Solanum lycopersicum: one gene and its partner. The protein of the gene in region 1 interacts with the protein of each later gene in a biochemical or structural test. Links are inferred from orthologs where the notes say so. Each region holds a gene or a part of one and is shown on either strand. Other genes may lie near its edges. The genes, in order: E3 ubiquitin-protein ligase KEG and protein ABSCISIC ACID-INSENSITIVE 5.

The links.
Region 2: the proteins of E3 ubiquitin-protein ligase KEG (region 1) and protein ABSCISIC ACID-INSENSITIVE 5 form a complex in vitro, tested with the Arabidopsis thaliana proteins (2 studies listed by BioGRID, with this or other methods). The link is inferred for Solanum lycopersicum from reciprocal best matches to the Arabidopsis thaliana genes KEG and ABI5.

Annotation. Positions count from the first base shown.
Region 1 is NC_090800.1:83,435,519-83,440,083, forward strand, and holds the start of E3 ubiquitin-protein ligase KEG, read right to left. Parts: upstream 2,835-4,565; 5' UTR 2,559-2,834; coding exon 1,828-2,558; intron 1-1,827. UniProt on the Arabidopsis thaliana protein: Mediates E2-dependent protein ubiquitination. Acts as a negative regulator of abscisic acid signaling. Required for ABI5 degradation, by mediating its ubiquitination.
Region 2 is NC_090808.1:3,413,226-3,417,697, reverse strand, and holds the start of protein ABSCISIC ACID-INSENSITIVE 5, read left to right. Parts: upstream 1-1,562; 5' UTR 1,563-1,784; intron 1,785-2,808; exon of another isoform or gene 2,809-3,093; intron 3,094-3,351; 5' UTR 3,352-3,382; coding exon 3,383-4,468; intron 4,469-4,472. UniProt on the Arabidopsis thaliana protein: Participates in ABA-regulated gene expression during seed development and subsequent vegetative stage by acting as the major mediator of ABA repression of growth.

The DNA of each region.
Region 1 (4,565 bases):
CAAACAAACTGGGAACTCAGATTGGTGCAGAATTCTCAGTTTGACATTTGATCTAGTTATGTTTGACCTGGTTTAGTGAAACATTAGAGTTGCACCTGCATTTTGAAGGATCAATCTACATTACGATGTATCAACTGATACACAAGTGAACTGTTCAGTGCACCCACAAGGCCCCAGCTAGCATAAACGACTGTGTATGATTTGTGAGAACAATATCTTGGTGTAGGTTCACGAATTCATATATCAACTTGTATACCAGTTTTCTCGTTACCCACCATACCAATGAACTTATCATTTATCAAAAATAAATATCAACATCTTAGTGTGGCCTAATAGTCAATGAAGTGGGATAAGCCATGAAAGACCAACTTTGTACTGGGGAAAGAAAGATTGAGTGAAAAGTTCCCCACTTTGTACAGCTGTTCCACAAATAAAAAGGGAAGGTGATAACAAAATTCAAACAATGGTTGGCGGTTGATTTTCAAGAGCGGCCTCAATGATTCACTGAACAATGCCAGTTTGGAGGATAACAAGGAATATTCATTGATATGGGCAGCATGCAATGACGGAAAGTTCACAGCCAGAAGATGTTATAGTCTATAACTGAAACAAAACGAATTGTGTTGCACAACGGCCTTGGAAAGCAACATGGAAGTCAAGGGAACCTGTTAAAGTTACTTATTTTGCATGGGTTGCAGCAAAAGCTTGCCCAACTAGGGGAACTTACAGAAGAGAGGAATCGCTCTTAGTAATAGATAGTATATGTGTGAAGAGGAGTCGGAGACAGTCAAGACTCACTCTAAGGTAGCAAGACTGTGTTGTGAGCTCTTTTCAAACATGACTGGTGTCAAGTGGATAATGCCTCCTGATGTTAAGAGCTTATTGAGCGAACATCAAGAAGTGATAATGTAAACGATATGTTTGGAGCACAATCCTTTTTTGTGTTTTATGGACAATAAGGTTGGAAAGAGATAGGATCTGCTTTAAGGAAAAGACAACATATATCCAGGATTAAGAATAGATATCTATTAAATATGTATTTTTTGTGTAAAAGGAGTATTATGGCAAGTATGGAGAAAAATATGGACTTAATAGAAGAGACATGAGATATGCAGTTGGCATGTTAGTGATTGACGTTGTTTTTCAGTAATCTGTATCTTCTTTTAATAAAAGCTTAACTTATTCGGGGAAAAAAAAGTAGTAATATAAATAAAATAGTGTTTATTTGGAAGCTGTTTTTAAAATTCCATTCTTTGGTTCATATTTAATATGGTCAACCTTATATCATTTGGTTCAATATAGGAGCTCTAAGTCTCTATTGCTTACTATATTTTCTAGAACTCTTGGTTTCGTAGGAGCAAGTCAGAAAGATTGAGAAATAGAACCATCAATTCATTCATTCTCAATAGCAAATACTTTCAGGACATTAATAATTTGAAATGTGTGTCTCATACCTAATACAACAGATGAGAAGTGCCATTACACTGACTGATCAACACGTGGTATAAGTTGCCGATATAATCAAGGCGATGCTACTATTTTTTTCCATTCTTGGTATCTTTTATCTACAAATACATGTATTTACTCAAAGTTTGAGTGTGTGGAAAATCGGGTGCAAGATAGTGACAAAATTCAGCTCTTGACGAGCATTGCAAAGCACGTGTGATAGATTGAGGATGTGAGTTTTTTCCCATAATTTAAAGTTCTAATTACACCAATTCCAGTTTTTTACCTCCAAAATCTGGAACAAGAAAATCAACAAGGTAGACCAAATGGAAATAGGAGTAACCCTCAATCCAAGACACAAGAAAAAATCAGAACTTTTACCTCAGAATTTGCTCAAGTGTTAGTCGCCCTTCATTCCGCTGCATCTCCGTCTGTACTGATCCTTTACACCTATCCATAATCAAGCACAAGCTTCTTTCCAATTTGGTCACACCATGGAAAGCACACACATTTCTACACCACATAGACTCCCTCCTCAACCTCTCCAACTTCTCTTGCACCCACACCACATCCATTTCCTCTCCAACTCCCACCTTCTTCACTGCCACTTTATGCCGACACCTCCCACGGCTACCGCTGCTTCTACCAGAAACAGTTGCTGCCCACATCTCCACTCCATGCCTCATAGACTCACCCCCTATCCTCCTAATCAACTTAACTTCCTGATGCGAACCCACCTCTATCCTCCCACCCCCACAGCCGGAGCTTGAAGCTGCTCGTGCACCATGCCTCCGCCTTGAATCATTCTCCTCATCTTCAGCATTCTCATTAAAACCCCTCTCATTTTCCTCTTCTTCATCCTCATCATCGCTCGAATACCTGGAGTCCCGGATTAAAGCTAGGATCGCGTAGTTCTTCTTAAGGGCAGTAACAGAGTTTCCGACAAGGGATACATGGCGGCACCTGGGACACGATAAGCTACTATCCGGGGAAGCAGAGAACATTCTAGAAAGACACTCCCTGCAAAACCCATGACCGCATTGGAGTAGTAAAGGGCAACGCTCCTCCTCGTCATACCTATTCTGACAAACTGAACAACAAGGTACTCTCATAATACTACAATCAAACAAAGAATCAACAACTATAATTTATATTTAAAAAAAAAAAAAAAAACGCCTCAGAGAAATTGAGATTGTTGAATCCGGGTCAGATTGATAAATGGGAAGTAGGTACAGATATGTACTTGCAGATCCACGGAGAAACAAGAATGTAGAGAGAGAAAGATTAAGGGTTTTAGAGAGAGAAAATGGAAGGTGGGTGGGGTTAATAGTTGAGTTGAGGAAGAAGACGGAAGCTTTACTGACCGATTTTTTGTTTTTTTTTTATTTATTTTATTTTCAATCTCCCCTGTAGTTAATGCCCGGGAAACTTTTATCTACGTACAAATACTGAACCGTATAGTACAACTTACTTAATGCACGCTTAGCTCTCTGTGAATAAATCTTCACTTGCTAATGAACAGTACATTTATTAAGTGGACTTACCCTCCCGTTAGTTTAAGATTATTTTGAGGTCTATCGATAATAATTTTTTTATTTTTTAAGTTAATATTTATGATTTGATCTGCTAATTTAAGGATTTATTACAGATAAGTTTAAATTATTAGCTTCTTGCTTATCTCTAATTAATGATGGATGGTAAAGACCTCCGCATATATTATTGTGAAACGATATTAGGCATATTATTATTATATCTTAAGTGGACTTACCATAACTTTACATAGTGAACCTATTGTGAAAATTTTAAAATAAAATAATAAGTTACTGTAATAAATTAAATTGAATTGTCTATATAAAAAAAAATTATACATTTCATTTTAAATTTGATAAATAAAATATCAAAGAGTTTTCATTAGCCTTGATGGTTGCTTTACAGAGGAGGTTTGTTTAAGCATATAGAATAATTAGTAGAAGGTAATTCATTACTAGGAGCTCATATTCAAATTAAGAACGTTTAATCTCAACTATTTTATCATAATTCATGTGGTCTTTATTTTATTAAAAGTAATATTACTTTTAGATTCTAATTATATATTTATAAATCATTGAAAAAATTGTAATTAATGCACTAAAGCATTGCATAGAAGTCTATAATATAAACCATTTTCTTTTATAATTGTCTTGACGAAATTAAATCATATGCGAAAAAATTGAGGTGCTTTGACTAACAAAAAATTTGAGATATAACTATGTTTCTTGTAACTTTATTGTCCCACTAGTTTAGTAGTGCAAAATTATTTGTCTAAACATGCACCTTGATATATATTTATTTCAGTACGATAGAGAATGTTATTTAAAAAAATAATAATAATAATTTCTTATTTTTAGTTTGATAATTAAGTAGAAAATATTATTTTTAAAAATACTTTTATGTAATTTAAATAAAGAATACGAGAAATATAAGGAAAGTGAAAGATAGGAACCAGAATACGAGGCTAAATGTAAAAATGAAGTGTGTTAAAAAGAATGAGGATAACACAACTATCACTAGTGAAATGGGTCTTCAATACTTTCATTATGATATAATTTTCCCAATATTTCAAAAAGATTGACTAACGGAACGAACACGCCTTTAATGCTTATTGTTTCTCATTAAATATAGTTTATATTTCCCAAGAACTCTTCAAGTATTAGCATTTATTTGGCTCTTTTTAAGTATGGAGTACTTTCAAGTGTTAAATAGCATATGAGAAAAGGAAAAGAAAAAAAAAACTTTGGGCAGAAAGATCACAATGTCTGAATCCTACAAGTAACCAACATACAAAAACAAGTACAAAAATATTCTTTTTCTAGCGTGTTATTCTTCAACGATCTGCCTAACCCAATCAATCCTGTCCTAAATTATTTGATATAGTTTGACAAAACATAAATTTCAGAGAGAACCAAAGATATTTAAAAGATCAGCCAAATATGAATTAAATACCAATCTGTCCTTGTACCAAAACACTTTGTTTTCCATTCTTTGAAGCCTAAATGTGTTTAAAATGCCAGAGTTGAAGTTGTCTGAATGAAACTTCGTGAAGTACAACGACCAAGATGACATGGCGGAACAAGTACAGG
Region 2 (4,472 bases), on another chromosome or scaffold:
CCATAGTAGACAAATTCTTTGTAGGGAAAATATGTGTACCTTGCAATTCATTTCATACTATAATGTTTCTTTGTCTGTTTGCATTTCTAAAACAATGTATCTAATAAAACTAAAACATAACTTATAAAACGAATGAATACAATCTAGCTACGAATAAATTTAGTCATTTAATATAACGAGTTTATCTGAGTTCAATATTTTCAAACGAACTATCATATATATGTGACAATCATCTAAATAAACTTTCAATAAAAGTTAGATTTGAACTTATAGTTTTAAATTATAATGTAAGATCTTTTAGACAACATTGTTTGTACTTTACATAAAATAAACAATATTTTACCCAAGATCTTTCTAGATTTGAAATACATGACCAAAAAAAAAGATTAATTTTAAGGGGCAAAAACAATATTTTTTTCAAAAAGTAGAAGCAAATAATTATTTTTTTTAAAATATAAAAATATCTTATCATAAATTTATTTATTTTCCGTATCTCGTCCTTTTTCTTTTCCTCTTTGACATAATCCATTAATTATAAAAAGAATAATTATTTTTACTTTGTTTTCTACAGTTCTTAATTCCTCTAATTTCTCCCTCACCTTTTTTCTAAAATAAACAAACTATAGCTAGAAAAAGTGAGTTAACTCTTTGTATAAATAATAAAATAAAATATAATAGTAGAATATTTCATGATAATAATTATGATTTTTCAAAATTTAACATTCAAAAATACTTTTAAAAGAAAATTAATCAGACACAATTAATTACTTAACAACTATTAAAACAAAATTAAATACTTCTCAAACAAACTACAACAATCATCAAAAAAATTTAATTAAGAAATGGCAAATATAAAGAAGTAAAATTGGGTTAAGAAATAAAAAATGTTACAAGTAATATATACATAAAAATACATTTTCACCTGACTATATAATATAATCTTCTTATGAATGGTTGTTAACGTTATCTATCGCTACTAATAACAACAACAAACTCAATTAAATTATACAAATAATAATAGAACGTAATCAAACTTCATTATAAAGATAAAATAATTATTTTTAGAGAATATTTAACTCAAATAAAACCATTTCAGATGATCTCAAACAAAATGATCAACATAATTTATTTATTTATTTTGGTCAAAAATACTAATTTCTATAAAAGAAAAAAAAAAGATTATGGTAACACTATAAGTGAAAAGATGAAAAGTGAAAGCATGCAAAGTATTATTTTTTACACATTATTTTTTTTTTAACCCTTTAGAATTATTATTTTTTTTTTAAAAGGACACGTGGAGAAGTAGGGTGAAGTAAGAGCCTAAATTAACGATTACCAAAATAACACCTGTCTAATACGTGTCAATCTCTCCATGCATGACCAAAATTTCCTATTTTTAGTATTGGTTTTTTTACAAGACTTCCTAAAATTATTTCTATGTACTAGGAGTACAATTTTTCACTATTTTTGCTTACATCTTCTAAAATGGACCCCACTTAACCCCCCACCCCCCACCCCCACCCCACCCCCTTGAAAAATTCAAAGACAAAAACAAAAAACCAGTCTTTAAAATAAATAAAATTGTGACCAAAATGAAGGAGAATACATAGTACTATCATCTTTAGTTGTGTCCTTTGTTCTTCTTTTTCTTAAAAAAAACAAAAGAATAATAATTTAGTTTTCTAATTTTAATTTTGTATTTTATTTTTGTTTGTGGTTATGATGATAAGTTCTTGAGAGACTTCAAAATCTTGGTGGAGCTGAAAAAATAATCAAGAAAAAAGGTATCCCTAAGTTTTATTTTCTTAATTTTTATTGTACTTTAATGTGCACCTTTTTTGTCTTGATGTTTTTTTCTTAAATTAGTCTTATTAGCTTTGTATTGAGCTTATAATGATTTGAAGATTGTAACACTTCATTTATTTTTGTTTGTTTTGTAAATTTATACCACTACCACACAGTGTGTCTAGCACCATTTTAATTAATAAAAAATTATTTAAAAACTCGAACCTGAATAAGTACAATCCAGGGAAGCTAGATCTTATCGATAAGTAATATCTTCAACACTGAGTCTTGTACTGTGTATTTGGGGGGTGGGGGTGGGGTATTGATGTCTATTAAGGGATATGATTTGATTGATGTGTAACACATTGGACAAACAAAGTAAAAGTTCAGATAAAGTTCAGATAGTCAATCAATTGAACAATTAAGATCGCAATATACAAATAATAAATTAATAATGGATAGATTGGGTTTACACTATGATATATTAGTCATATAGTATTTAAGGTTTAGCTATTAAAAGGATTTAATTTTGGGGGGAAATTCGATATCTTTTTTCTTCTATTTAAGATATTTATAGCTAGGGTTTCAAGATTGTAAATAAACTATAATATAATGTCACGGTTACTTTCATTAAAAACTACAGCTCGGTACACTAAGCTTATGTTGTATTTCGGATTAGGGAAAGGGTAGGATTACAAAGATTCGTATGCAATCTTATGCTGTACTCGAACCTCTGACCTCGTGATCACACGATTTGTTTGTTTTACTCTTTCCTTTTGGGCAACTTTAATAATCTTACTAAATACATCTTGTTTATTAGTACTAATAATTAATGTGTGAAAACAATTGAAGAAAAAAAGTTGTTTTTTAGATCTATGGTCCAATAAAAAAATTATTAAACAAAAGTGGAAAGTTCCTAAGGTATTTTAAGCCCACATGCCAAAGAATATGTTTCTTCTTTTGTTGTCCACTTTGATTAGACCCACTAAGTATATTTATTTTAATAAAAAAAATTAATTGAATATAGTATGTAAATATATATTTTGTTTTTGCTTTATTCACACTTCATCTTTTGAACCATAAGGTCCCTTCTAGGCTCTTATGTTATTAATTTTCTTGGGAGGAGAAATAGACGAAGACGATATGAAAGGCGGATTCAGGATTTAAACGTTAATGGAATTGTTAGTACATATACGGAGTTTAAGCTTTAGCTACTGGATTTAGATGAACTCGATCCACCCAACTATGTATTCGTAAGTACTCATTATGTTATTGGAGGGTAGACGTCAAGAGCGGAGCCAAGTAGGGGTAAGTTATCATTTATGTAGCATTCTTATCTTTTTCATGTTTTAACATCTTAGTATTTTGAATCGCTTAGTGAAAATCGTGGCGGGCGCGGGTAGATGTTAGATTCTATGTGTACTAAAATCTACCTTCCTATAACTTTGTATTATTTGAGCTTGATTTTTATTTTTTTTCATGATAGATGTACATCGTTTGTAATATTACAATTTTACGTGTATCATCATTTCTTTATTTCAATTGTTTGATATACGCATTTTTCAGGTCGCTAGTTAAAGATCCGAATCGTAATAACATGGGAGTACCAGAATCAGAGATGGTGTCTCAAAGTGAGGTTCAATCACCATTGCAACAAGACCAAAACCAGCACAAGAACAACCCATTCCCGTCACTCGGTCGACAAGCGTCGATTTACTCGCTCACGCTTGACGAATTCCAACACACTGTTTGCGAGAGTGGGAAGAATTTTGGGTCGATGAACATGGATGAATTTCTTAACAGCATTTGGACTGCTGAAGAAAATCAAGCCCACGCGCACGCTCAGCCTCACTGCCAGGCTGCAAGTACTGGGGAAGCAACTAGCGCCCCACGTTTTGCGTTAGGACAGGGAAATGTTTCGTTGGAGAAAGCTATTGTCGAGCAGCCAAGCTTGCCAAGACAGGGATCGCTTACGCTTCCTGCACCGTTGTGTAGTAAAACTGTGGATGAAGTTTGGTCAGAAATCCATAAGACCCAGCAAGAGCAGCAACAGAACAACGGGTGCAACATACAGAACACCGGTAACGGAAGTTCCACTCAACGACAGGCTACGTTCGGTGAAATGACGCTCGAAGATTTCTTGGTTAAAGCAGGGGTCGTACGCGAACAGGGCAATTCAGCTCCCGCACCTCCTCAGCAGCAATCATATATGATGTATCCAAACAGTGCAAATCCCACTATGGCCGCCATGGCTCGGCCTGTTATCGGCCTCGGTGGAGTCACAGGCGGTGTTGGCGTCGGTGTCTCCATTCCCGGTTATCCGCCACTTCCACAAACCGGGGTGGTCGAGGCACCTGTGTACCCTATGAGCATGAAAAGAGGCAGTGGATTCCCACAACAGTCAACCCCCGTCTACGGTGGTAGAATGGGAAACGGTAGCGGGGTTGGCTACGGGCAAGTAGTGCAAGGCGTAGCCGGAATGGGGTCGCCACTAAGTCCCGTGTCGTCGGATGCACTATGCGTAAATCAAATCGATAGCGGGGGCCAATACGGGTTGGAAATAGGAATGAGAGGCGGGCGAAAACGTGTACTAGACGGTCCAGTAGAGAAAGTTGTTGAAAGGAGGCAAAGGAGGATGATCAAGAACAGAGAATCCGCAGCAAGATCACGAGCAAGGAAACAGGTAA